Linked DNA regions of Diceros bicornis minor. The protein of the gene in region 1 purifies or fractionates together with the protein of each later gene. This does not show direct contact. Links are inferred from orthologs where the notes say so. Each region holds a gene or a part of one and is shown in the gene's direction. Other genes may lie near its edges. The genes, in order: NFKBIA, ARRB1, E3 ubiquitin-protein ligase TRIM22-like and RPS3.

Region 1 (7,850 bases):
CATATAGTTTCTGGTGGCAGATTTTGCCTCTGATGCTGAGGGATCACGAGCCCCTGACCTGATTATGGTGCCCAAGAGCAGGGTCCTCCTATCATTTATGTCCCATATCTGCGGAGTACCAGACCTTTGTGTGGAAATGCGCCAGTGCTAAGTATCCTCATACCCTGACTACACTCAGAATGAATTTACACCCTCCCACCGAAAATAGCAAATATACTGGTATGCAGAGGAAGCAATGTGCTGTTAAGCCTCCACCCCCTTCCTGATCCAACTGCTCCTCCCTGAACACAACAGAACATGATCAACCCTACACACCTATAGATATGACTTGGTTACTGCCAACAAACAGTGGAAAGAGAGAGCCAGGAATTCTGGCCGGGGGTGACACTTGCAGGCCTCTCCTTCCCTTCCCTGGCAGCAGGTTACCCAACAGGCAGACTGGGCACATGGTTGGGGCACCAGCAGAGCAGGTACACCTCAAAGAGGTGTTTATTGAAAGGATGAGTTAAAAAAAAACACCTAAGTGGTCCTTGTGAGATACATCAGAACTCTGTTGAGCTACTTACACTTATTTTACAGTGTAGTGTTTAAAAGTCCTTTGGAGGAGGGATAACTCTCTTTTCAGGGCTTAGAGCCTCTGATTCCAACCCTGCCTGCCAGAGACAGATCGACCTTCCTGGACAGACACACTCTACCCCCAGCCTCCAGTCACCCGGAGGAGCCGAGACCCCACGATGCCAGGGAGCTGAAAGTGGGTGCCTTCCCCCAGGCACCATGAAGACATCATACTTTAGCTGAAAAAGAGGTTGTAAACTCAGGGCCTAAATCTTTTGATTTAGCCAAAAGATGCAGAAATGCATTCTTGTCTGGTTTTCACATGTTTTAAAAGTTGAAAAATTTCACATCAAAATCCATTTTCTGGGCGGGCCCCGTGGCTTAGCGGTTAAGTGCACGCGCTCCGCTACTGGCAGCCCGAGTTCGGATCCCGGGCGCGCACCGACACACCGCTTCTCTGGCCATGCTGAGGCCGCCACATACAGCAACTAGAAGGATGTGCAACTATGACATACAACTATCTACTGGGGCTTTGGGGAAGAAAAAGAACAAAAAAAGGAGGAGGATTGGCAATAAATGTTAGCTCAGGGCTGATCTCCCTCACCAAAAAAAAAAAAAAAAATCCATTTTCTGATTTTTTCGTTAACAATGGAATATGAGTACTGCACTCAAAGTGCCACCTGGAAAAACTCATCTGAGCTGAGTGTGAGGGACATGTTCTCTCAGGTCTACACTGTGAGAGGCGCCACCACTTCCCCTTGGACTCACATGGCCGGCGTCACTCATCTGTGAAACCTGTCCAGCCCTGATGGGTTAAGTATTTGAGTTAGACCCTTTAAAGCTTTGATCCCCATTAAATTGCAGAATTTGTAGCAAAAGAAACACGTGATGGCTTTGACAGTTTTATTTTTAAGTCACTACAAATGAAGGTCCTGACAGCTGTTTTTCTGTGCAGAAAGATCCAGAGCTTGGGAGCTCCACATTCCGAGGGGGATGAATGGAGGCGGTTGCTAACCACCACAGGAGGAAAGAAGACTGAGCCTGGGATTGGAAGCAGAATATAAATTCAGAATTCCACAGTGGGGCTGTCCATGAGCAGTGTGCCTGACTCGCTTGCCCTTCAGGACTCTGTCATGGCCCCTCTCTCTCCAGGCCCGGCTGCACTGAGCAATGGGTAGCCTTTTTCAGGAGTTCAGTTTGCTGGGGCTAAAATAATTTTGGTTTAATTGGCCAGGGCAACTGGCACAGGACACCCTGCCCATGACGTTAAGAAAAGCCAAGTATGTTGGACCAGCTGGCTGAACTTACAGAAAAATCTCCCCCACGCTGCCAGGCCACTGGGCATTTCAGGCAGTAGGTTCGGTCCACACTGGGCATTTCCCAGCCAAGAAGAGCGTGAGCATCACTGGCCACCCTGTCATCCCCTACGGCTGCATGCTGGGCTAAAATACAAAGCAGCTTCAAGGTGAACTTATTCATTCTTTTGCCTCTTGCATTAAAAAGAAAAACGCCAAAAGACACTAAAAATAAGTTTTTTAACATCTTTAAAATGGTCAAGATTAGCTAAAATGTTTGACAATGAGGTGGGGAGAATTCTAAGTCTCTGAGTCCATAAAGTTCTTTCTAAACCAAAAATCAGTTTTGGCGTCTTCTCCTGCCCCACCTGCTTATGTTCTCTGATTTCCAGGTATGTTCTTTATGGGCCAAGTTGTAATGTTTGTTGATCTAAACCAAACAGAGCTATCTACGGTAGGGAGAAAACCTGTTGGATTACATTACTCAAAACTGTCTCCCAGGTTGCAGAGAAACAAAAGGCACCTCCTTGGGAATCCCCACCACGGGGACAGGTCATCAAGGCTCAGCACCTCCCAAAATTTCCAAAAGCAGGTGACAAATCTGGGCTGCCTGGGCCTGCATCTCACCACTAGGTGTCACACTAAACAACCAGGAATAAACACCACCAGGTCCTGAAAGCCTCAGGAACACAAAACCAAAACAAAAAAAGGAGGTGCAAAGATACTTATTCCTGAGAAATGTTTTACTTATGCATGATTTTCTTTTTAATGATCATTTTTAAACCCGCAGCTAAAAATTCTCTTCTAAAGTATCCTTTCTAAGTGAGGCATTCCGAGTTCGACGCTTGTGTATGTTTTTTACAGACGTGATTATCCCCAGATAGGAGGCCATCAACCCTCCATTTTGTCTAACAATTGGAGTAGAAAGCACTTTGAATGTCTTCCAAATTATTTTCTCATTTTCACAATATGCTTTCAAAGTGTTAATACTATGACTGCTTTGGCCAAATGATTAATATGTTGGAATAGAAATTACATAACCTGCCATGGGGTGCCTAGCTAAATTTCTCTGCATTTCAGTTTCTTCTTAGGAAAGCAGGAGTAATACCTATCTTACGAGATTAGTTCGGGAACTAACAATGTGCTACATAAAGTCCTGGAGTTCTTCCAAACATTTACACTGATAGTTCCAAGAGACATGGCCCCCTTAAGCAGAGTTATAAATGCATTTGTGACCAAGTAATCCAATTTTTAAGCTGGAAAAAAACTCTAAATAGCATTAAGTCCAATCTTATTATTATAAAAACAGGTATATCACAGCAAAGTTAACTGATCTCTCCAACTTAATAGGCAGTTAATTCGAGGTAGAGCCTGGAATGGAGATCTCCTGCCTGTAGTTGCTCTCCCACCTTGCCCCGGTAATCGTACATTTGAATATCATATGCCTGCAGATACAAAGGGGTCTATCCCTGGGAAGTTTCCATTTTAACACGTGATCATCACTACCCCGAAGGTTTTATTTCCTGATTTTACCTTTCCTCCGCATCTTTTGTCTCACACCCCCATGGACCCAGGTTCCCTACATTCAGGTATCGGGGGCGGGGGAGATGAGAAGAGAAAGGTTGGTTAGTCCACGGCCAATCAAGTTAAAGATGATTGCAGAAATCTCTGCAAAACTATAGAGGCCTCCTGGGGCTAATTCTGCAGAACTTAGACCAAAGTTCCTTTATTTTGCCTGGACCAATTCTAGAAGTAGATGAACTCAGTCCGTGGCTTGTTGGCTAAGAGGTGGGGGTAGGGTGGGGAGCATAAGTTCTATCTCTGCAGGTGAAACCAGGGGATGGGGAGCCTGGAGCGACTACCCACGTTTGCACAGATAGGTTCCACCACTGCCTCCCCCAGCGCAGGAGAGCAAGGAGGAGGCAGGGGCAGGAGGGGGCAATGTTAGGGCTGGCTGCCTTGCAGTGGCCTAGCAGTTACTTTCCCAGCCATCCATAAGGCCCAATCCTGGATAAGACACTACTCAACCCATTCTTCAGCCTTCTTCTCCAAATGCTTCTGGAAAGTCACCCAGCTGGGCAGCCAGAGGTAGGCTCAGGATCCATTCTCTGCAGCAGCACAGTGCAAATCAGAGAACACGACCTCAGTGATGACTTCATTACTGCAAGGTATCTACAACTTCTAAGACAAGATTAACACCTTGCTCTGCTTGAAAAAAAAAATACAGTCATATTCAGCATTTTCCTGCATACTGGCCCAGTGCTTGTCCCTCCCCCAGTCAACAAGATTGTTAATCCCGAGGAAATGATTTGAGGGTTCTCCAAGCATTTCCACTTTTAACGCGAGGGGCTGAGGGGTGCCACATTCCCTGCACTGCCGAGAGCCTGGCGCTGGCAGGAACACAGAGGCAGCCCGCACTCCACCTTCTAACCGCCAGTGCGTCCTTCTCGGCAGACAGAAGTTTAGGGAAGCGAATCCCTACACCAAGCCATCATTTCCACTCGAGTTTTCAAAAGATCAAAAATCGGAAAGGACCGTTAGGTTGGCAAACCCTAAAGAGGAACCGCCCAGCAGGTCGGCGTCCTTGGAATCTCAGCAGCCGAGGACCCCTAATCAAATCGATCGTGGGAAACCCCAGGGAAAGAAGGATTCTTGCAGACGGACAGGATTACTGAGTGCAGGCTGCAGGGAAGTACCGGGGGAGGGGGCCCGGTCGGGAGGACTTTCCAGCCACTCAGCCTTCATCAAAAAGTTCCCTGTACATGACCCCAGTGGCTCATCGCAGGGAGTTTCTCTGCTGAACCCCGGCTCAGGGTTTAGAGTTCTTTTTCCCCTAGCAGAGGACGAGGCCAGTTCTCTTTTCTGGTCTGACTGGCTTGGAAATTCCCCGCGCCTGACCCCGCCCCGGAGAAATCCCCTGCCAGCGCTTATAGGGCGGCGCGGCGGCGCTGCCGAGCCCACAACAGTCCGGAGCCGCCGCGCCGCCCGCCCGCCCGCCCGCGCTCGACGCTGCGAGAGAGCGAGCGCTGCCCGCGGCCGAGCGCACCTGGGGAGCCGCGCCGAGCCTTTCCGCGCCATGTTTCAGCCCGCCGAGCACGGCCAGGAGTGGGCCATGGAGGGGCCCCGGGACGCGCTCAAGAAGGAGCGGCTGCTGGACGACCGCCACGACAGCGGCCTGGACTCCATGAAGGACGAGGAGTACGAGCAGATGGTGAAGGAGCTGCGCGAGATCCGCCTGGAGCCGCAGGAGGCGCCGCGCGGCGCCGAGCCCTGGAAGCAGCAGCTCACCGAGGACGGAGACTCGTAAGTGTCGCAGGCCTGGGTGGCGGGGCCGGGTGGGGGCGAAGGGCCTGCAGCCCGAGCCGCTGGGCCCGCGATGGGGCCTCGGACCCGGGGTTTATGCACCGTCCCCGAGACGGTGCAGAGCTGCAGGGCTCCGGTGGGGACGGGGGGTGCAGAAGGTTAGGGGGTCGCTCCCGGGGCCGGGGTTCCGCAGCTCTGCCTTGCAGCCGCGCACACCCCCCCACCCCCCCGTCCCTGTCCTCGGGCCGGGGGCGGGGCGGCGGCGGGGACGCGAAGTCCCCGCTTGCATAAGGGGGGCGGGCGTTCCTGGCCCGCTGGCGGGCGCCGCGCGGCCGGGAGGGGAAGTACAGGGCGTTCCGGGCCGGCGGGAGGGCGGGGCGGGCTGGCCGGCGCCCGGCGCGGGGGGGCCCGGAAAGTCCCTGGGCGCCTGCCAGGAACACTCAGCTCATAATAACCTCGCGGAAAACACCGCGGCCGCGGCCTCCAGAAACCCCGGCCTTGCGCAATCCCCCGCAGCCCGCGCCTCCCCGCGCCCCACGCAATGCGCTCACCAGCCCTGGGGGGTTTTCCCTCTCTTCCCTCAGGTTCCTGCACTTGGCTATCATCCATGAAGAGAAGGCCTTGACCATGGAAGTGGTCCGCCAAGTGAAGGGAGACCTGGCCTTCCTCAACTTCCAGAACAACCTGCAGCAGGTGCGCCCCTTGCTCAGCCCAGTGCCTCTGACCCCGTGGGGGAGCTGGATCTAGCACACTTGCTCCCAAGCCTTGATAAATGAACAGTCACTGGTCATTGTCTGCCCTGACCTTTTACGTTGGAATCTGCCAACATCCTAGAGTAAAGAATTCATTGATTTGGTGAGGCCTTTATGAAGCCCATCTGGGGGCTCTGGTGTTTATTTGTTTGTCCCTTGTACCTGTCTGGGAGGAGCAGCACCCACAAGCAGGACTTCTCTGGGGTTCAAGGGAACTCAGACTGTGGGTTTAGCCCGTGGCTTATTCTCTTTGTGTTCCCTCTTCTGTCTGTAGACTCCACTCCACTTGGCTGTGATCACCAACCAGCCAGAAATTGCTAAGGCACTTCTGGAAGCTGGCTGTGATCCTGAGCTCCGAGACTTTCGAGGAAATACCCCCCTACACCTTGCCTGTGAGCAGGGCTGCCTGGCCAGCGTGGGAGTCCTGACTCAGTCCTACGGGGCCCAACACCTCCATTCCATCCTGCAGGCCACCAACTACAATGGTACGTCTGGCTGCCCTGCTCATCAGAGGGCAGGTCACATGGAGAAGGGGGGAGAGGCAACTGAAGGAGTCTAGGCAAGAGCTTAAATTATCACCACGTAAAGGTTGAGCTAATATGTATGCAAAAGGCCTATCTGATGCCTTTACAAAGTTCATTCAGAACCCTGGCTTCTTCAAGTTTGTCCCTTAAAGGAACAGGTGAAAGGTTCTGCTTGAGATGTGCGAGTTGAAACAAATAGTTATACTTTTTTCATTTTGTCCTTCCAGGCCACACGTGTCTGCACCTAGCCTCTATCCATGGCTACCTGGGTATCGTGGAGCTTTTGGTGTCCTTGGGTGCTGATGTCAATGCTCAGGTGAGTGCTTCCTGCCTCCAGGTGGAGTGCATCAGGCTCCAGGGCCCACCTCAGCAAGACTTTATGTGCTCTTGTTGCAAGCAGAAATTCCAAACTCATCTAAACATCTCAAATGCCTTTTGGTTTCAGGAGCCCTGTAATGGCCGAACTGCCCTCCATCTCGCAGTGGACCTGCAGAATCCCGACCTGGTGTCCCTCTTGTTGAAGTGTGGGGCTGACGTCAACAGGGTCACCTACCAGGGCTACTCCCCCTATCAGCTCACCTGGGGCCGCCCAAGCACCCGGATACAGCAGCAGCTGGGCCAGCTGACCCTAGAAAACCTTCAGATGCTGCCAGAGAGTGAGGATGAGGAGAGCTACGACACGGAGTCTGAGTTCACAGAGGACGAGGTGAATCTCAACTTCTTTGTCACTCTGCAAAAAGCAGTGAGAGTGGCCATTCTCCCTGCACCCTCCCAGGCCCCTAGAGCTACTCTTCCCTAAGGTCTCAACATAGTGAAGTTCTCAAACTTGCCTGTGCATAACTAGTATCCCACGAGTGTGTCTTTTCTCTTTTGCCCCTTTTTAAGGAGAGGAGCATTAAAGGAAAACTCCCTCAGTCCGTCCAGTTAATTTATATTTGGGTTATAGAGAATGCAGTCCAAGAATACCTGAGTTATTCCCACTAGCACCACCCACCATCATCCCAGCCCCCTTGGCAAAGCTCTGAAGTTTAACGTGCCTTTTTTCCTCTTGTTTTTAGCTGCCCTATGATGACTGTGTGCTTGGAGGCCAGCGCCTGACGTTATGAGCTTCAGGAAGTGTCTAAAAGAACATGGACTTGTATATTTGTACAAAAAGAGAGTTTTATTTTTCTAAAAAAAAAAGAAAAAAGAAAAAAATCAAAAGAGTGTACTACTTATAACCACACTGCCTGGCCTGAAACATTTTACTGTGGTGGATCAGCTCTCATTTGGTTATTTTTGTGAACTTTGGAAGGGGGACAAGCAAGATCACTGGAATCCCAAGAAAACCCCTTTTAAACCTCACCTTTGTGGGGCTTTTAGAGAACGTGGTCCAAAATTTGATGAAAGGAATACATTTTATTTATTGTGCTTCTTGATTG
Region 2 (6,928 bases), on another chromosome or scaffold:
TAGTTGCCTATTCTGGATATTTCATGTAAATGGAATCAAACAGTATATAGTCTTTTGTGTCTGGCTTCTTTCACTTAGCATAATGTTTTCAAGGTTCATCCATGTTGTAACATGAATCAGTACTTCGTCCCTTTTTACAGCTGAGTAATATTCCATGGTATGAATATGCCACATTTGAAAAAACACATTCATCAGTTGATAGACATTTGGGTTTTTTTTCACTTTTTATGACTGTTATGAGTAATGCTGCTATGAGCAGTTCTGTACAAGTTTTTGTGTGGACATCGTTTTCAGTTCTCTTGGATATACGCTTAGGAATGGAATTGCTGGGTCATATGTTAACTCTATATTTAACTTTTGGATGAACTATCAAACGGTTTTCCCAAGTGACTGCACTGCTTTACCTTCCCACTGGCAAGGTATGAGGGTTCCTGTTTCTCCACATCCTTGGCAACACTTGTTATTGTCTTTTTTGACCATAGCCATCCTAGTGAGTGTGAAGTATCTCCTTGTGGCTTTATTTTGCATTTCCCCAGTGACTAATGATGTTGAACATCTTTTCATGTGCTTATTGGTCACTTGTAGATCTTCTTTGGAGAAATGTCTATTCAAATCCATTGTCCATTTTTAATTGAGTTATTTACCTGTTTATTGTTGAATCATAATAGGGTCTTTATATATCCTGGGTACTAGGCCCTCTTCAAATATTTTCAAATATTTGAAAATAGTTTCTCCATTCTGTGGGTTGTTTTTTCACTTTCTTGACAGTGACCTTTGAAGCTCCAAAGTTTTTAATTTTGATGAAGTCCAATTTATCTACTTTTTTCTTTAATTGCCTGTGTTTTCGGTGTCATAGCTAAGAAACCATTGCCTTATCCAAGATCATGTCAATGTATACTTATGTTTTCTTCTAAGAGTTTTATAGTTGTAGCTCTTACATTTAGATCTTTGATCGATTTTGAGTTAATTTTTGTATATGGTGTGAGGTAGGGGGTCCAACTTCATTCTTTTGCATGTGGATATCCAGTTGTCCAAGCATCATTTGTTGAAAAGACTGTTTTATCCCCATTGACTTCTCTTGGCTCCCTTGTCAAAAGTCAATTGACCATAAATATATTCATTTATTTCTGGACTCTCAATTCTGTTCCATTGATCTACATGTCTGTCTTTATGCCAGTATCACATGGCAGTCTTGATTACTATAGCTTTGTAGTAAGTTTTGAATTTGGAAAGTCTGAGTCCTCCAACTTTGTTCTGTTTTTTTTCAGATTGTTTTGGCTATTCTGGGTACTTTGTGTTTCCATGTGAATTTTGGGATCAGCCTGTCAATTTCTGCAAAAAACTCAGCTGGGATTTTGGTGAGAATTTCATTGAAACCATAGATCAGTTTGAGGAGTATTGCCATCTTAGTGCTAAGTCTTCTCATTCTTTCTTTTGGGTATTTATTGAGTATAAAGTTGAGTTCATGCCAAATATACTGTTTTGATTCCTGAATTATTCTGCTTAATATTCTGTCATGGGCATTTCCCTGTGTTACGAAAGATGCAAGCATAATTTCAATCCTATGTACTATTCCATTGTTTGGCTGTACTATACAGAACTATAAACTCTTGGTTGTTGGGGATCTGTCTTGGAAGGTACTTTGTTCTGGGTCCGTTATGGTGCAGACCACCTTCTACAGGCACAAATGAACATTGGGAGGACTGGCGGCTCCCAGAAGAGCAGCAGAATATTAATGTCAAAGTTGACCAACAGGTAGCCCATGCTGCAGGTGGGGAATGGGCTCACTAGAGAAGCCAACATTCTGGTTCATGGAGACCTGACCTGCCAGCCCACCTGGCAGCACCACCCTGATGGAGTGGAATCAGAACACAGGATCCAACAGGCTGCATAGACACTGATAGAGCATGTTTATTTTAGGCATGTTTCTCTAGAACAGTGGATTTTTTTTTTTAATATCTCACCTCTTTATTTTTTTATTTATTTTTTATTGATGTCATAATGGTTTATAACATTGTGAAATTTCAGTTGTACATTATTATTTGTCAGTCACCGTATATATGTGCCCCTTTACCCCTTATGCCCTCCCGCCAACCCCCTTACCTGGTGGTAACCATTAATCTGTTCTCTTTGTCCATGTATTTGTTTATCTTCCACACATGAGTGAAATCATATGGTGGTTGTCTTTCTCTGTCTGGCTTATCTCACTTAACATAATACTCTTAAGTTCCATCTATGTTGTTGCAAATGGGATGATTTTGTCTTCTTTTATGGCTGAGTAGTATTCCAGTGTATATATATACCACATCTTCTTTATCCATTCATCAGTCGATGGGCACTTGTGTTGCTTCCAAGTCTTGGCTATTGTGAATAATGCTGCAATGAACACAGGGGTGCATAAGCCTCTTTGAATTGTTGATTTCAAGTTCTTTGTATAAATACCCAGTAGTGGAATAGCTAGGTCACATGGTATTTCAATTTTTAATTTTTTGAGAAATCTCCATACAGATTTCCATAGTGGCTGTACCAGTTTGCATTCCTGCCAACAGTGCATGAGGGTTTCCTTTTCTAGAACAGTGGATTTTAAACATTTAAAAATTTGCAGCATGACATTTATTTTACATTGTAACTCATTTCACCTGAAACAAAATTTTCACTAAATAATACTTACTTTTTGTATCAGGCAGGAGAAGCTGGTCTGCTGCACTAACAAACAACCCCCAAATCTTAGTGGCTCGAGAGCTTTCTTTCTCTCTCATGCTACATGTCTATCACCTAGCAGGAGAGCCCTGGGATTCAGGTTGCTGGAGGCTTCCCCATCCCGATCATTGCTGGTTTCAGTGGCAGAGGAAAGAGGGTGTGGTAGGTGGAAGAATGGCCCCCCAAAGATGTCTGCCTCCTAACCCTTGGAACCTTTGAATACATTATATTACATGGCAAAAGGGAATTACAGTTGCAGATTGAATTAAGGTTGCTAATCAGTTGATCTTAAAATAGGCAGCTGAATGTATCCTGAAGGGTCTTTAAAACTGGAAGAGGGAGGCAGAAGAGGAGGTAAGAGTGATGCAATGTGATAAGAACTCAACCTGCTGTTGCTGGCTTTGAAGATGGAGGAAGAGGCTATGAGACAAGGAATGTGAGTGGCCTCTAGAAGCTGGAGAGGGCAAGGAAACAGATTTGCCCCAGAGCCTCCAGAAGGGAGTATAGCCCAGCCAACATCTTGATTTTAACCTAGTGAGGTATATTTTGAACTTCTGAACTGCAGAATTGCAAGATAATAAGTTTATGTTGTTTTAAGCCACTAAGTTTGTGATCATTTGTTATAGCCTCCATAGAAAACTAATACAAAGGGCCTAGGGAATCATGCACCAGCCCTTAAATGCTTCTGCCTGGAAGTGACATGTGGCACTTCTATTCATATTTCGTTGGCCAGAGCGAGCCACATAGGTATGTCTAACTTCATAGGACTGGAGAAATTTGATCCACTCATATGTCCAGCCTTGGAGGAGAATAGAATATTGGTAAATATCGTAATATCTACCATACCCTTGCCATCTGCACCTCATGCTTATATCTTCTATTCTATTGCAAACAACAACAAGAACAAAGTGCTGGTGGCAATTCTTGAAGTTGACTTCATTATCAACTAATGGGTTATAACCCCTGGTTTGAAAAACACTGCTTTACAGACCCTCTTCTGCCCATGCCTCATGGACCACATGACACCTCCAAGGCATAGCTGATTGGTCCAGGCGTGGGACACCTGACCAAAGCTGGCCAATCAAATTCCTCTCCTGGGATTTGGAATTGGGCCATTCAGCCAGTTAACAGTGGGGAGCTGAGTGAGAGGCAGAGTGGAAACAAGGTCGGAGTGAGAGCCACATGAAGCCAAGATGATGGAGGAGTGGAAAAGCACTGAGTAAGCAGAGGGAGTTGGTCCACAGAGACAATGGAGCAGCCGCACAGAGAGCCGTGCAGCCGGGAAGACATGCAGCCCCTGAGGGAGAGGTGGAGAGAGACAGCAACCACCTGAGAGGCTGATGGCTTCCCCGTTCCTGGCTCCAGCCCCCATGCGTCCTGCCTGCGCGTCCTTCCCGTGAGATTTTTGCCTCCTTGTCATACCCCCTCCTCCTTTTCTTGAGCTACCCTTGGTGGGCTTCTTCCGTCTCTCCGGTGAGCCTTCATCAGCTAGAATGCCACCGGTATTTCCCTTATGGGGCCCAGCTTTGGCTCTGAGGATCAGGCTCGTGGGGCATAGATGGGACTCTGGGGTGAACCAACCGCACCGTCCCACAGTCTGGAAGCTTGGCTTTGACCACAGTCTTGCATGTTTGTGCTTGCTCCTCAAAGTGGACAGGCAGAGGCTATCTGTGTGGCACTGCACGTGTAGGGGGCCGGGGAACCGGAAGCACCCCCCAGGTGCCTTTTGTCTGACAGCCCTGGGGTCAGGAAGCCAGTGGAGTTGCTTCAGGGAGGGCTTGGCTGTGCGACAGAGTGGAAACCACATGGGCTCTGGAGACAGGCAGCCACAGTTTCCCTCTCTGAGCCTCAGTTTCCTCATCTCTGACATGGGATTGTTGAAGCATCAGCAACGTTCTGGGAAAAACACTTAGAGACCTGACTAGGGCGGAACACGCTCTCAGCGGCCTGGGCAGCTGCTCTGGTTGTTTGAGGAAGCCATCAGCATCCTGGCTTCCTGAGGAGGTGGCCCTGGGGGCTGGTGGAGTTAGCGACAGGATGTTCCCCATGGCTCGCCATGCTTCCTGCCCCTTGTCACCCTCCTCTCCTTCTCACCCCTTAGCCGCCCTTTCATTTCTTCCTCCTCCCCTCCCCTCTCCTGTCCTCATTTCCCCTCTTTTCTGTTATCCTGATGTTGATAAAAACACCTGCTTTAGGACAGCAGCAGGATCGGATATAAAGACCCAGCCTCTGGAGGCAGACAGAAAAAATTGGGTCTGAATCCCGACTTAGCCTCTGTTTGCTGTGTTCCTGGGCAAATTACTACATCTCGCTGAACCTCAGGTTCATTATCTATAAAGTGGGGGTTATAATGCCCACTCCACAGTGCTGTTGGGAGAGTAATTAAATAGGCACTCAGCAAATGCTGTGTCCTTCTTACCTCCCGCCCTCCTTCCTTGATTATCACTCCTCCTAGCCTGGCCCTGGCCCCCTCCTGTGTTCCTCTCAAGGATCACTGGAATGGCTTTCCCTGACTCGGTTATTTGTGGCTTCAGGCATTTGTGTCCCCTCCTCTCCCTCAGACCCAGGCCTCCCGAGGGTAGACTGACGCTTCTGGAAGCAGCTGGGGTCCCTGTGGCCTGTGCCACTTTTCTGGTCTCCTCTGTAGGCCCAGCCCTAGCGGGGGAGCTGCTGATTCAAACTGTGTGATCTGTATTTTTTCTCACTTTCGCAATTATTACACCCCAGCCGACTGTGGCATCTTCACACTGCGAACACTGATAAATATTTATGAGGAGGAGAGAAGCCCAGAACTCCTAGGGGAGGTTGGGGAGGGCAGTGCCAGGCCCTTCTTTGCAAGCCAAGCTCAGACCCATCCGTGGTCCTTTGGGCCCCATAAATAAGGGGGTGGTGTGGGCGGGGGTGGGCTATGGAGGCAGCACAGAGCCACCACCCACTCGCCTCCTTGGAGGAGCGACTGTCACTGTGACACTGTGGCCTCACCCTGCCTTGCCCTGGACGCCTGCTGGACCTCCTGCTCCTGGGAAGGATTTGGGCTGCGTGGATTCCTCTCAGCTACGTGTGGGCCTGCTCCATGCTCTGTCTGCTGCATCTCCCTCACCCTCTCTTGTTGTTTGTTTGTTTGTTTTTTCATCTGTTGTCACACCTCCAGGGCCTGCATCCCTGTCCTCTCCTCCCTTCCCTCCCTCCTCTAACACCTTCTCTTATCCTCAGGGTCTCTGTCGCTGTCTTTCGCTTTTCTTCTCTCCCTCCCAACATTACCCTGAGCAATTCTGGGGCTAGATGATGGGCGCTAGGTGAGGGGGTCTCAGGCTCCCACACCCAGCTGGAGGAGGCTGCACTGTGCTCTGGAAGGCAGGGAGCGCTTGGCGGGAGTGGGGACCATGCCTCTGCCTGACCCCATGTCCAGTGCTCTGCTGTGGCCACGGGCAATCCCTTCCCTTTCCTGGGCCTCAGTTTCTCAGTTGATTCCTTCACTCATTCATTCATTCACTCGCTCAACTAATATTTATTGAGTGCTTGCTCCCTACCATTCATTAACACGTCTTTGTTAAACACCCACTAGGTGTGCCCTTCTAGGGCTTGGGACACGTCAGTGAACGAAAGAGACAGGATCCCTGCCCTCAGAGCTGACACGTTAGCAGTGGATAGGCGTGAATGTGGTCAGCAAGCCCCTCATGTAGTAGGTTAGACAGTGGTGGGCACTGTGGGAAAAGGAAAAGTGGAGCGAGGGCAGGAGTGGGAGTGGGGAGTAGGCACAGGGCGAGGCCTCATCATGTAAGGGTGGGGGGGGCTGGCAAGCAGAGCTGTTGGGGAGGGACTGCTCAAGCAAAGGCCCTGAGGCAGGAACCGACCTGGTGTGTTGGAGGAACCCCAGCAAGCTGCCATGTGGCTGGAGGAGTGAGGGAGAACAGCGGGAGGTGATGCGGGAGGGAAAGGAGGCAAGGCAACCTCCAGACCTTACAGGCACTCCAGGCTTTTCCCTGCGCCAGCCAGGAGGAGTTTGGGTGGCGGAGTACGACTGACATCCTGACAGCCTCTCTCCACCTGCTGGGAAGAACAGACTGAGGGGCCGTGGCCGGAGCCCAGGAGACCTATAATGGCGACAGTGCGGCTTGGGTGGGGGCAGCGGCGAAGATGGTGAGATCTGATTATGCCGGCACTGTTGCTGCTCTCAACGCTTGGTTGGTGCCTGAAAGTCACTCTGGGCCCCTTGTCCTGGGTCCTG
Region 3 (7,009 bases), on another chromosome or scaffold:
TGTTGATATTTTGACCTCGTCCCATAAATCATGAATGTTCTTAATGGTATCTAGAATGGTAAATCTTTTACAGAAGATTTTCAATTTACTTTGCCCAGATCTGTCTGAGGATCTTATCTATGCCAGCTATAGACTTACAAAATGTATAGCTTAAATAATAAGGTTTGAACGTTGAAATGACCTCTTGACTCATGGGCTGTAGAGTGATATTGTATTAGCAGAAATGAAAACATTAATCTTGTTGTGCATCTCTCAGAGCTCTTGGGTAACCAGGTGCATTGTCAATAAGCTGTAATATTTTGAAAGGAATTTTTTTGTTTTTTTCTGAGGAGTAGGTCTCAACAGTGGGCTTAATGTATTCAAGAAACTATGCTGTAATCCAGGCTTTGTTGTTCATTTATAGAGCATAGGCAGAGTAGATTTAGCATAATTATTAAGGGACCTAGGATTTTCAGAATGGGAAATCAGCATTGGCTCAACTCGAAGTTATTAGCTGCATTACCTCCTAACAAGAGAGTCAGCCTGTCCTTTGAAGCTTTGAAGCCATGCATTGACTTCTCTCTTGCTATGAAAGTCCTAGATGGCATTTTCCAATATAAAGTTGTTTTACCTACTTTGAAAATCGGTTGTTTAGTGTAGCCATCTTCACTAATTATTTTAACTAGGTCTTCTGGATAACCTGCTGCAGCTTCTACATCAGCACTTACTGCTTCACTTCGCACATTTATGTTATGGAGATAGTTTCTATTCATCAACCTCATGAATTAACCTCTGCTAACTTCAAACATTTCTTCTGAAGCTTCCTCACCTCTTTCAGTCTTCATAGAATTGAGAGAGTTAGGACCTTACTCTGGATTAGGCTTATGGCTTAAGGAAATGTGGCTGGTTTGATCTTCTATCCAGACCACTAAAACTTTCTCCACATCAGCAATAAGTTTGTTTCACTTTCTTAGAATTCATATGTTCACTGGAGTAGTACTTTTAATTTCCTCCAAGAACTTTTCCTTCGCATTGACAACCTGACTAGTTGTTTGGTGCAATAGGCCTAGATTTCAGCCTATCTCAGCTTTTGACATGCCTTCCTCACTAAGCATAATTGTTTATAGCTTTTGATTTAAAGTGAGAGATGTGCCTCTCTTCCTGTCACTTGAACACTTAGAGGTCATTTTAGGGATATCAATTGGTCAAATTTCAGTATTGTTGTATATCAAGGAATAGGAAGGCCTGAGGAGAAGGAGAGAGTCAAGGGAATGGCTGGTTGATGGAGCAGTCAGAACACACACAACAGTTATTGATTAATTTCACTGCCTTATATGGGCTTAGTTCATGGCACCCCAATCAATTACAATAGTAACATCAAAGATCACTGATCACAGATCACCATAACAAATATAATAATAATGAAAAAGTTTGAAATATTGTGAGAATTACCAAAACGTGACACAGAGACACAAAGCAAGAAAATGCTTTTGGAAAAAATGGGGCCAATAAACTTGCTTTATGCAGGGTTGCCACTAATCTTCAATTTGTAATAGAACACAGTATCTGTGAAGCACAATAAAGCAAAGTGTGCCTGTAGTCTTTTCTCCCTTTGAATCACTGTTCTGACCTCAAGTCCTGGGCCCAAGAGAACTAATGCATTCTCTGTGAGATCTTCACACGAGGTCCAAGTGCTTCTGGAATGTAAAGAAAAAGATCTATTTGGCAGTGGGGGGTATAAAAGCTGGCTGTTCTAGATCCCTCTTCCTTAGCCCCTGAGATCCCTATCTTGCAAAACTCAAGACCCAGTACTTGGTATCTATTTTTGAGTAGGTTGAGATAGGGCAGCTTTGGGCTATAAAGCCTTGGATCAACCTATAATTTAAAAATTATGGGTACATAGAAAACCTGATGTTTTTGATCTTGTCTGAGAAGAGATTATAAAAAATTCCTCTGGAAAATGTAGGTGAGAATCAGAGGCCCAAGAGGGGATGGGAGGGTAGGGAGAGTGCCATTGATGTCCTGGGAATTTCCTCTGAGACATTAGATTTAAGGTGGAGAGAAACCAGTGAGGAAATCAAAGCTTGTCAGGGACAAGAAAACATGGGCCAAAAGGAAACCGGAAGGAACCATGCTCCTTTTCCCACCCAAAGTCTATTTACAAAGGTAGCCACTTTGTTATGGTCCACATTCTAGCTTGTTAGGTTCTGAAGGCCCAGGGAATAATAAATTCTCCTTAGCGCTCTGTGTTTCCCTCCAGTCCCTACATCTCTTGCTGGAGAGGAGTCTCATGAAAGTTCTTCCATTTTGAACCCACAATTTTTTACTGTTTACAGTCTGAAAAAACCACAGGGTACAGGAAGTAATGCGGTTAGAGTGTGGTGGTATAGATAGAGGAAACATCCGGCATTGAGGTAAGTATCTGGGTCAATCCTAGGAACAAAACACAAGAAATGGAAAATTGTTCATTAAAATTTGTCAAGGGAGTTCATATGTGTTAATACAAATACGAGAATTTCATTATGAATCACAGCAATTACGTTGACTGCCACAAAAACAATAGAATATAACTGTGATTATCATCAATTTGTTCAATGTAATTAAAATGATATCTATAGCTATGCTACTGCATGCCTTTCTATTTAGATATCACTCCCTATATACAACACTTTGTAGTAGATCTGAGACATGAAGGAACAACATAGAAAAGGTCCCTTTCCGCCTTCAGACAACTTACTGTTGTTGGGCACAGGGCCAGAATAGGAGGGATACTCAATGACAGTATTATGTGATAACAAAGAAGATAAAGGAAAAATGCAATTTATACAAAATGTGGAGGACTTTCACTGCACTTGAAAGGCATCATGAGTTTATTTATCATTAGAACAAATTTTATTCATAGCCGAGAAACTGAAACTGTCAATATGGCTCAGCATTTATGTCTATATAATTTTCGGTTACTACTTCACAGATATAAGTGATTCAGGAAGAGTTTATAAGCCAAGATTTTCTTACTTTTCTGTAGATTACAAACAATACCAAAATATCTGTGCTTTAATTGGAAAAACATCAACTTCTCAGTGCCCTACCTGTCTCACATCAGTTAATGTGTGAAGAATGATGTGTTCTTCAGTTCCGTCCGTCAGGGATCCATGTTATGGAGCATCCATCGTCTTGTAACTGCAACATCTGGAACATGTAGTCAGAACAACAACACAATAGATAATGTGGCATGAAAGTACGTGTAGGAAATATAAAATGTTCTGCTTTTGGTTTATGGTATAGAGAGGACCAAATGTTTTCCAAAGGAAGCAGGGAAAAATCAGCAAATTTTGGAGGTGTGAGTGTTACTCAGTGAAAGATTATACTGGAACAGCACCATCTACTAACCTCCATATTCTCACCCTCCTCCTAGTTGCTGAGTAACATGGAAATGACACAGTTTTACCATGATTAGTCTTGAGAATCCTTCCTCTTCTGGCCTGCCTGGATAAGGAGCAGAAACTGGTAATTAACTGGTGGACTTCTAAGATTCAATAACATTGTGAAAATATTTTCTAAATAGGCTCACATTGAAGATATTTTAAAAATTTTATTTTTACTATTCACAATGACAGCCACTAATACTCACTGTGCCAGCTCAAATTTGCAGGCGATTGCTTTTTCCATCACACTCTGCAATACAAGAGGTGAGGTGCCGAGCCTTTTTGAATTATATTTTATCCCTAGTGACTTGCTTAAGATCTGACTATTGGATAAGCTTAACTAATAATTATAGGATTGAATTGAAATTCTGAGTATTCGGGCAAGATGTAGAATGTATCATTGTAATTCATATTCTTATCAAATATTTTGCTGGAGTAAACTGGGAGAGGAATAAGAATATAGAGATTGGGTGACTCATCGGTGCAGGCCCTAGAACATGCTGAAACATGACTCTCCTCTGGTGTCCTCCCATTGTTTTTAAGTTTCTGTTCTGTTTCCTTTGTTTCATTTCTACTTCTAAGAACTTAACTTTCATTTCTCACCCAGCTCCTGTGGGGAAACTCCTCTTCTAGAACAAGCATCAGTCTGGCTTCATGAATGAATCTTGACCACACCTGCACCTGATCTCCACGGAGTCAAGACTCCTCCACTTCTCCTGAAGGTGTGTAAGGTACCTTGTGAGGGCAAAGGGCAGCAGTCTTTGAGAATAGAATGAATGTGTTTGGGTGAGTTTATTGGTTCTAAAGCTGCTCTGAATTAACAAAAAGAGCCAGCTTACAGGTTTTCTGCTAAAGCGGCAGAGAAAGAGAGCATTGAGTCTGGGAGAGGAGTGACCTTTAAAATAGGAAGGGTTAAAAAGGCAAAGAATGTCATTTGTTTCTTGGAGGGACCATTATTTCTCCAAACTGTTACCTTCACCTTCTTCCTATTCTGTAGTTTTGACTTTCTACCTTGACAAGATGAGCCAGAATACTCTTTTATTTCAGAGGCAGAGAACTCCTTCCTCCTTTCTCCAGAAAAGGCTGTGAGGATGGAGTCCTGTTTTCCCTCTTCATAAAAGCCCAAGCTCCTGGTGAGAGCCAGCAGACATAAGAGCCCTTATATGGACTCATGATAGAGGGAAGAGATCTTAGGGGCTCCGTCGGGGATAAGACCTTATTGAAGATTATCCTTTTCCTCTGTTCCTAGTAGCTTCTAGGAAGCTATCCACAAACATCCTGATGAATTACCAGCCCTTGGGTCAGCCTAATGAGAGAGGCTGCCTTATCAGATGCTACCTATCTCTGCAGTTCCTCTGTGGTCACTTATCTCTGGAGTTCCAGGCACAGGGAATTTGTTCTCTGCTGAGTGCAAGGGTTTACTCTTACTTCAGTAGTGCCTCATGACCTTCTGGTGAGAGGTCTTGCTTTAGAACTTGTTCCTCATCATCTTAGACACACCTTTCCATTGCTTATTACCTCAACTCCTTACTCAATTTTCCCTTGCACAAAGACAAGGAGTTGGTTATTTCTCCAAAGAACCCCATCTTAATCTCACCTGTGAATACTTTGTTCCTTGATTTCTGTGTTACATATGTTTTCATGTGTGTCTTATTTCCTTGCACTTTTCAGAGGTCATGAGTCTGTGCCTTACACTTGGACAAGGTTCACAGATGGTATATGTTAATTGTCTACTCAGTTCTAGTACAGAGCTCAATAAACAGGAAGAAATGAATTTTTTTTTAATTTTTAATATTTCTGCTTAAATTCACAAGAACAAAAGCATACAGCTATGGTGAAAAAAATTGTGTTAACATCTACTGAACATAAAATAAATATGAAGTACCTATGAAATATTATATTCTGAGTCAGGAGAAAGAAAACAAGGGGTAAAAGTGTCATGTAGTGTGTTAAAAGATGAAACTCACTATGGTACAAATGTACAACAAAGAAATAACAATAATATACCAAAAGGGCTGTAATGGAGACAGAATCTATGTGCCCTGGGAAAGAGCTTTGAAATTTTAAATAAATTTCAGGTTAAGTCTTAGCATGGACAGGTGATTTTGAGCAGCATATTCAAGGAAATGATGAATTTAAGATGGATTTTTGTCCAGAGTGATTAAGGAGCATAAAAACAGCCAGTGTGGGTTCCACAAGAGTAGGAGGTGGGCTGAGAGGGATGAGGCCATAGCAGGGGATGTGTTATGTGCCCCTAACTAGACCACGAAAAAGATGGACTCAAGCTAAATGACATGCATTTGAGCAGAGTAGTGACAAGATTGATGTATACTTTTAAAAATCATTCTAGCTGTTAGTGTGAACAGTGATGAAAAGAGACTTTGTGGGAGCAATGGCAGTATCAGGGAGACCAGTGGGGAAACTATTCTTGGAATCAGGGTGAAAGACTCTTTAATTTGAAGTGAGAGATAGAGTATATTCTGATGAACTGACAGTGAGAAAAAGGGATGAGACCAGGGGCAGCTTTATGAAGATGGCCTCTGTTATCAAATGATTTCTTTGAAACTAGTTGACCTGGGAGCTAGAGTGTTTGGGGAGAGGGTAATTAATGTGGGGCAAGTTAAACCCTGATCTCTAAGAGGTGGTTGAAGAGGGAGCTCTGAGCGTAGAGGGATGGAGAGGAGTTGCACTGTTTCTGAGTTTCCTCAAGTCTCTGGATGCCAAGGACAAGTCCACTTTCCCATTGGCAATTCCTGATCCAGGGAACAGGGGAAGTTTCAAGAATGTTGGTTCAACCCCTCATAGGACTTATTCTCCTTATTGTGGAGATACTTTCCTTTTTCTTGTCTAAACTGTACAGATACAGAAAGCCTCTGTGCAGACCATCAGGATATAGTGAGATAAGGAAACTCAGGACCTAGTTGGTCCTTACCTTACTGTAAAAACTCCTACATTGCTCCATCTCCAGAGGGGAGCATATGTCTTATCTCTGTATGTATCTGTCTGTTTGTCTGTCTGTCTTAGGTGGGGAGAATTTCAATGGTATATTGCTTCTTCAATGATAGAATAAAGAATGAATGAATAAAGGAAAAATAAGTACTGGTGTTATTTTCTAGGGATGCCATAAAAAATGTACCACAAATGGACGAGTTAAATAAAATTTATTTTCTCACGATTCTGGAGGCTAGAAATACAAGATCACAGGTGTTGGCAGGGTTGGTTCTTTCTGAAGGTTGTGTGGGAAGGATCTGTTCCAAGTCTCTCTGCTAGCTTCTGATAGTTAGCTGGAAATCTTTGGCATTCCTTGATTTGTAGATGCATCACCCTGATTTCTGCCTTTGTCTTTACATAGATTTTCCATGTGTGCATGTCTGTCTGTGTCCAAATTTTCCATCTTTATAAGTACACAGTCATGTTGAATTTAGGCCCACCCTAATGACTTCATTTTAACTTGATCATCTGCAAAGATATGATTTCCAAATAAAGTTACATTCACACATATATGGGGTTAGGACTTCAACATCTTTTTGGAGAACACAATTCAATCTGTAGTAGCACTCAGTGTGTTTGAAACAGGGTCCCTTTGATCCCAAGACTAACAGATG
Region 4 (7,235 bases), on another chromosome or scaffold:
ATGCTGGTTTTCTCACATCTTTCCATACACTAGATCTTATTTTTATTGTAAGTAGAGGTATCAGAAGTATGAGTCTGGGCTGGCCCAGTGGTGTTGTGGTTAAGTTCACGCACTCCACTCTGGCAGCCGAGGGTTCATGGGTTCGGATCCCGGGTGCAGACCTACACACCACTCATCAAGTATGCTGTGGCAGCATCCCACATACAAAATAGAGGAAGACTGGCACAGATGTTAGCCCAGGGCCAATCTTCCTCAAGCAAAAAGAGGAAGATTGGCAACAGATGTTAGCTCAGGGTGAATCTTCCTTACCAAAAAAAGAAAAACAGAAGTGTGAGTGTTAGCAATGATACAAAAGCAGTGAAAAAAAAATTATTAAAATATTTATTCTGCAGTATTCTATTCATATCCAAAGACTCAGTTCCAGGCCCACCCAGAGTGAGTCACTGCTCAATTTTAATCAAATCAATGAGAACCTGACGACATCATCATGTCTTACTGGGGGCGTTATTATCTAAAGTAAGTGACAACCAAATATGGTCAATATTATCCTAGAACAATAATCCCTTAAGAGGTGCCCTGGTGGAGACGGATGGGCCCTCTCTCCGTGAATCCAGTTCCCTCCAAGACTGGCACAGACCCCTGGTTCTTTGGTTGAACACTAGATAAGTTGTTAGCTTATTCGGAGGTCTTGTAGAAAAAAACATAAATCTTTGAAAATCAGCCCAGCTAGATGCTCAGAGAAGGTCCTCAGGGAAGGCAGACCTAGGCTGCCTGGGAAAGCAGAAGGCCCCTCTGTCCTCCCTCCTCACTCTGAGCCCCAGGGCTCTTGGAGCAGGAAGACAGGCACACCCACCTTCCCTCACACTGTTTAAATTTTCTCTTCTTTTAATAAATAAATAAAATCTTTAAAAAAAAAAAAAAGGGCCGGCCCCATGGCTGAGGGTTAAGTGCACGCTCAGCTGCTGGCGGCCCGGGGTTCAGATCCCGGGCGCACACTGACGCACCGCTTCTCCGGCCATGCTGAGGCTGCGTCCCACATGCAGCAACTAGAAGGATGTGCAGCTATGACATACAACTATCTACTGGGGCTTTGGGCGGAAGAAAATAGAAAATAAAATAAATAAATAAGTAAATAAATAAGTAAATAAATAAATAAATAAATAAAATCTTTAAAATTTTCTCTTCTTTTTTTCCAAGCTCCTCCCGTTGGATCCAGGTAAGTTAAATGCTTTCTATGAGATTCCACTGTACTAGTCTTAAAGTGACTAAATCGTGGTCTACATTCTCTAAAACTGTGGTCTATATTCGTTGAACCAGGGCAAATCACAACTCTGATTTTTAGGAATTCCAGGACAGGACCTGTGTGGCACTCACAGGGCCCAGGCATGGCCTGAGGGTGGCAACAAGGCCATATGTGTTCTCAGACACATGGCCCTCTCTTCACAGTTCCAGGGACACTTCCGTGGCACTGTGGGCTAAACAGATTAGCCCTTGTTTACAGTTTGGATACCACGGCAGAGATTAAGGCTCTCTCACAGGCCCTGCTCTTAATTAGAATTCAGTGTATTGTGACTACTCTTTTTACAGCATTATTTTAAGCCATATAATGTCGTCTTCTTATAATGGTCTTAGATAAAATGAAAGTATCATGATAAAGACAAAGGCTTGCTTCGTGGGCTTTCTCCTGGGACCAGAGGACAATATCCAGGCAGGCAGCCTCCTGGTGTCACTGGGAAAGGACAGCAGATGAGCTACCATGGAGCCTCCAGAGGTGGCATTTACCTCAGAGAACCTGCCATGGTCTGGTCCTCAGCTCTGAGTCTCCTGAACTTGGTTTTGTGAGCATCCCAGGTAAGACATGGCCTTTGCAAGCAAATTCATTTGAACCACGCTACCAAGAACTGATCTAAAACCAGAATCCATGCAGTGATTTGTTTATCAAACTTGTATTGACACTGGGCCTGAGCCAGGCCATGTTCTTGGCTCAGCATCTAATGAACAAAACAGGCTTGGTCTCGGCTCTTACGGAGCTTACAGTCCAGTGGGAGAAACACATGAAGAGGCCATTCCAACCCAGTGAGATGAGTGTTGTGGTTATGGGAGCAACTAGGAGAGGCCCAACCCTGGAGGAAAAGACATATTTAACATGATGGTGGGGAAGGAAAGAGCCAGTAAAGGAAGAATATCATAGGAAAGGGAGGGCATGACCACTGGAGAAAGGTCTCAAGGGAACAGAACTAAACTTGCACCAGAACACATAGAGGAGGGTGACCATGGGCAAGAACAGGGAAGGAGAAAGGAAGGATGACCAAGGACACATACAATTATAGGGTAAATGAGGGGCAGTTCTTGCCTGTACAATCTACTTAGGGGGCAAGGGGTTAGGAGGGAGGTTGACTGCTGAGAGTGAGGGGGAGGCTCTGATTTGACAAAGATTACAATAAGCACCATAGGAGAATGAGGGGCATATCTGAATGAGGAAGTATTCTGGCCCCAGCATGCAAGGCTGGGTGCTCTCTCACAGCACCCACATCCTGAATGAGGGTGTAGACAGGTCAAGTAGACAGATACATCAGGGTTGAGCTTTTAGCAGCCTGACACCACTGAATTAACAGTGATCTGGATGAGGAGGGGAGTGAAGAGCAGAGGGAGAGGACACACAGAGAAAGAGCCTGTTCCCAGGTTCCCCATCTCAGTGACAGTCATCACCAAATATCCACCACTGGAGTCAGAATCCGGACCATCATTCTCAATGCCCCCTCAACCTCAATCTGTCATCGAGATACACTGAGTCCACAGCCTATCCATCTCTTTGGTTCATCCACTTCTTCCCTGGTCCCTCTGCTCAGCTCCCCCCAGAATTCTGTCCACGATTATAGGACAGATCTTTGCATCAGAGTTGTTTTAGTGCTAGGGAAAAGCTCAAATGGCTTCTAGGACCAGACCACAAATGGGCGAAGCTGCCAGGGACTGTGGCACATTGCAAAGCGCTTTTCCATTTACCAGGGAAGGAGAGCACAGTCACGAGGACATGTGGGCCTGGTATTTTGCTAGATCTTTATATATTTTTAAGAATAACCTAAAAGGGTTTTATAGAGAAATTTCCTGATTTTTAAATGCAAGCAAACTATTCAAATTTAAAATAAAATCATTGTTAGAGTGTTTAGTGAAGTGTACTGACATCTGCACTGTACTTTGAAATGCACCAAAAGATGCATTGGTGGGTGGGTGGAGGGATGGATAGATATGTAACGAAGCAAATAGCAAAAATGTTCATTGTAGCAGCTAGGTGATGTGTATACGGATGTGCACTGCACAACTCTTTCAACTTTTCTGTACGCTTGAAAAGTTTCATAATAAAATATGGGGGGAAATTCTTTTAATTGAAAAAGAATTGTGAGCCCATGAGCCACTGCTTTGTGACTTTTGTTACAAGTTGTAACCGACTTTATGAAAGTGGGGTGGGGTAAATGAGTTAATAATATAAAGGGCATAGAACAGTCTGTAGAATACTTAATAAACATTAGATATTATCACTTGGAACGAAGGAAATGGACACAGAATGGAGGAGCTGGGCGCCTAACTGAATTTCACTGAGGGCTTTTGGTGGATTTTCATTACAGTGTAGAGTGGAGGGACCAGGGTTCCATGCTTGTTAAACGCTGTTGCTCTGTGAGCTCAATGCCTGTAATTCCCATCTCTGCACATCACATTCCTCATTTTTTTTTTTTTGTGAGGAAGATCAGCCCTGAGCTAACATCCATGCTAATCCTCCTCCTTTTTTTTTGCTCAGGAAGACCAGCTCTGAGCTAACATCTATTGCCAATCCTCCTCCTTTTTTCCCCAAAGCCCCAGTAGATAGTTGTATGTTACAGTTGCACATCCTTCTAGTTGCTGTATGTGGGACACGGCCTCAGCATGTCCCAGAAACTGTGTCGGTGGGCGCCCAGGGTTCCCAACCCAGGCCGCCAGTAGCAGAGCGCTGCCACTTAACCGCTAAGCCACCAGGCCAGCCCTCTTGCTCTTTTTTAAACCAATGAGAATTGGACTCTAAGCTCCCTTGCAGTTCTGAAGTTCTCACGATCCGCTCCCTTTCCTGTTTCTGCCTACAGGTGTCTCCATCACTTTTCTTCTTCCTTTAATGCTAAGGTAAAAACTACATTTCCCATGAGGGCCCACAGGCGTCGACGTCGCGCAGTTCTTTGTCGTCGCTCCGCGCCCTTTATACCCACTTCCGCCCGAGAGCCACTTCCTTTCCTTTCGGCGGCGCGCGGCGGCAAGATGGCGGTCCAGATTTCCAAGAAGAGGAAGGTGAGACGCTGGGGCCCGGGTCCGTGGGATTGCGGCCTCGCGCAGTTCAGAGGCTTCTCGAGGTGCCGCCGCAAGACCCGCAGCTCCGTGCCCGGCCGTGGGAAGCGGCTTGGGCCGTGTGGCGTCCCCGGGGGCCGCGGATGGTGGTGGATTGAGTGCGGGGCCTGAGCCGGGCGAGCGCAGTGTGGCGGGGAAGGGAAAGACAGATTTCCGCCGGTTCCGGGCGGAGAGCAGACATAAGCACCCGGCGCCGCTTCTGCTCCGGAGAAGGGGCTTGTGAGCATTTACTGGTCAACAAATAAAATTGGTAAAGGCGTTGTATTTGAGGGCACCGTTGTTTTGGGGAGGGAGGTAGCCGTGTACGTATTCTTGCCTTCTTACTAGTCGTGTCTGAGTGCGGCCGTCTGGCCCCAAAGACCGCAGTTGGAGAGGCTACCGACAGTTTCTTACTCCATCCGGGGTCCAAGGAAAAGGGGTGGGCGAGTGGAGGGAGGGGACCTGGGACGAACACTTTCTGAAGTTTAACTTTTCGCATTTCCATGGGAGAGAAACGTGTAAAGTCCATTTGCTTTAGAAACAGGCAGTTTGCCATTTCGTGTGTACATACATCGATGTTAAGATGAAATCCACACGCTTTTGTGAGTTGGGATTTGCCAGCTCTGTAAGACACAGCTACCTTAAGGGAGGCGAGACAACGTGGCTGGGGTTCTTCTGATGGTCCAAGTTGTGTCCACAAGGGAGACTGCTTAACTTCAGTTATTGTCTGTCCTTTTCGCTAGTTTCAAGCGGAGTGTCCCTGCTGTGTGGAATGAATGAGTTGTAAATGTGCTTTTTCGGAGTAGTTTTCTGTGTAGCGTGTTTGCATATAAATGAGTCTTGAAAACCCTTCAATGAAGAGAAGATGACGAGTCTGACTGAAAGTGTCATCTTTGTCCTGGTGGCTCCTATTCCGTGCTGCGTTCTGTGGCACAGTGTTAAGGGTCCTGGGTCAGAGTAACTTCTGAGAGATGACATAGAGGCATTTGTCTGAGAAGGGTTGCTACATTCCTGTTGGAAGGAGGGTAATAGAATTGATGATGGATGATTTGTTGGAGGTGCTGAATTTTGATGAAATTGGCTGAAAGTCTAGGCAGGAGAAAGTGAGCCTGCACCCATGTCGTAATTTTGAATTTTGCTTTTTGGTTAGTTTGTCGCTGATGGCATCTTCAAAGCTGAACTGAACGAGTTTCTCACTCGGGAGCTGGCTGAAGATGGCTACTCTGGAGTTGAGGTCCGAGTGACACCAACCAGGACAGAAATCATCATCTTGGCCACCAGGTAAAAACTTGTTTTCCTGGCTATCACCTATAATTGTTGTATCTACTAAGATGGTTTATTCTGTAAACCTAAGGGGACAGCTAGTGAATTTGGCCTTAGCAAATGGAATTTTTTTCAAACTGCATTTTTTATCCAACTCTAGTTCTTGTCATTCAAAATTTATACTTGTTTGTCAGTTGAATGAGACTTTACTACCAAATATATACAAGATTTAAAGGTATGTCTGGGGGCCAGCCCGGTGGCGCAAGCAGTTAAGTGCACGCGCTCTGCTGCAGTGGCCCGGGGTCCACCGGTTGGGATCCCGGGCGCGCAGTGATACACTGCTTGGCAAGCCATGCTGTGGCGGCATCCCATATAAAGTGGAGAAAGATGGGCACGGATGTTAGCCCTGGGCCAGTCTTCCTCAGCAAAAAAAAAAAAAAAAAAAAAAGGAGGCGTATTGGCAGATGTTAACACAGGGCTGATCTTCCTCACAAAAACAAAAAAAAAGGTATGTCTGGAATTTTTGTGAGAGCTATGAATTGTCCCTTTTTATTTTCTCCAGGACACAGAATGTTCTTGGTGAGAAGGGCCGGCGGATCCGGGAATTGACCGCTGTGGTTCAGAAGAGATTTGGCTTCCCTGAGGGCAGTGTAGAGGTGAGGGATCCTGGCTTGTGCCAGAGGTTACTGTGGACCTGGAAATGGCTCTTTAGGATGGTACTTCTAAAAACCCTTACCATCACCCTGAAGACTTTGTTTATTCATGATTAATGAGTATTACAAATGGATTGGTATTTTGTTGAAGTTCTCTTAATAAGCAGTGGGCTTAATTTTACAGGCCTGTTCTACTCATTTCTTGGTTAAGGGATTTTGCATTCAACTTGGGTATAGTAATGATATGTATGATGGATTGGCTGCCCCATCCGTCTTCTTGGTCTGGCCATAGGAAGAGGTAGGAGTGGAAGGGCAGGAGTGGAGTGGTTCAGCCTCAGTCACAGTGTGTGCTAGGTGTGGATGCTAGAGGTGCTTTAGTGCTTGAGGGATACTGCAGTGATGTGTACAGTGGTGATGGTAACAGGTTTAAGGATGTGCCTTGTTTCCTTCTTAAAGCTTTATGCTGAAAAGGTGGCCACAAGAGGTCTCTGTGCCATTGCCCAGGCAGAGTCTCTGCGTTACAAACTCCTGGGAGGCCTTGCTGTGCGGAGGTAAGTGTCCTGAGACTTTTAATGGTTGTGCCCGTTTTTGTGGATCAGAATATGGTGTGTCTTACATCTTGCTAATTCAGCAAATGAACTCTTTGTACGTGGCAGGCTCTGCTAGTCTCTGAGGTTGGCAATCCATGTCCTTGCTGAACTGACAGTCTAGCAAGGAAGACGAGTGAAAAAACAAGTTTTTTTTTTTTTTTTTTTTTTTTTTTTGTGAGGAGATCAGCCCTGAGCTAACATCCGCCAATCCTCCTCTTTTTTTGCTGAGGAAGACGGCCCTGGGCTAACATCTGTGCCTATCTTCCTCCACTTTATATGGGACGCCGCCACAGCATGGCTTACCAAGCAGTGCGTCGGTGCGCGCCCGGGATCCGAACCAGCGAACCCCGGGCCGCCGCAGCGGAGCGCGCGCACTTAACCG

Evidence for each region.
Region 2: the proteins of NFKBIA (region 1) and ARRB1 purify together in Homo sapiens (affinity purification with western blotting; 3 studies listed by BioGRID and IntAct, with this or other methods). This does not show direct contact. The link is inferred for Diceros bicornis minor from reciprocal best matches to the Homo sapiens genes NFKBIA and ARRB1.
Region 3: the proteins of NFKBIA (region 1) and E3 ubiquitin-protein ligase TRIM22-like purify together in Homo sapiens (affinity purification with western blotting; 3 studies listed by BioGRID). This does not show direct contact. The link is inferred for Diceros bicornis minor from reciprocal best matches to the Homo sapiens genes NFKBIA and TRIM22.
Region 4: the proteins of NFKBIA (region 1) and RPS3 purify together in Homo sapiens (affinity purification with western blotting; 4 studies listed by BioGRID and IntAct, with this or other methods). This does not show direct contact. The link is inferred for Diceros bicornis minor from reciprocal best matches to the Homo sapiens genes NFKBIA and RPS3.

Annotation. Positions count from the first base shown.
Region 1 is NC_080744.1:14,039,668-14,047,517, forward strand, and holds the start of NFKBIA (NF-kappa-B inhibitor alpha), read left to right. Parts: upstream 1-4,837; 5' UTR 4,838-4,926; coding exon 4,927-5,153; intron 5,154-5,737; coding exon 5,738-5,846; intron 5,847-6,179; coding exon 6,180-6,390; intron 6,391-6,656; coding exon 6,657-6,745; intron 6,746-6,874; coding exon 6,875-7,135; intron 7,136-7,487; coding exon 7,488-7,535; 3' UTR 7,536-7,850. UniProt on the Homo sapiens protein: Inhibits the activity of dimeric NF-kappa-B/REL complexes by trapping REL (RELA/p65 and NFKB1/p50) dimers in the cytoplasm by masking their nuclear localization signals.
Region 2 is NC_080746.1:55,868,052-55,874,979, forward strand, and holds the start of ARRB1 (beta-arrestin-1), read left to right. Parts: upstream 1-3,925; 5' UTR 3,926-4,040; coding exon 4,041-4,096; intron 4,097-6,928. UniProt on the Homo sapiens protein: Functions in regulating agonist-mediated G-protein coupled receptor (GPCR) signaling by mediating both receptor desensitization and resensitization processes.
Region 3 is NC_080746.1:63,065,612-63,072,620, forward strand, and holds the start of E3 ubiquitin-protein ligase TRIM22-like, read left to right. Parts: upstream 1-4,001; 5' UTR 4,002-4,126; intron 4,127-7,009. UniProt on the Homo sapiens protein: Interferon-induced E3 ubiquitin ligase that plays important roles in innate and adaptive immunity.
Region 4 is NC_080746.1:55,785,408-55,792,642, reverse strand, and holds the start of RPS3 (small ribosomal subunit protein uS3), read left to right. Parts: upstream 1-4,231; 5' UTR 4,232-4,281; coding exon 4,282-4,311; intron 4,312-5,196; exon of another isoform or gene 5,197-5,346; intron 5,347-5,497; coding exon 5,498-5,628; intron 5,629-6,172; coding exon 6,173-6,266; intron 6,267-6,719; coding exon 6,720-6,814; intron 6,815-7,235. UniProt on the Homo sapiens protein: Component of the small ribosomal subunit. The ribosome is a large ribonucleoprotein complex responsible for the synthesis of proteins in the cell. Has endonuclease activity and plays a role in repair of damaged DNA.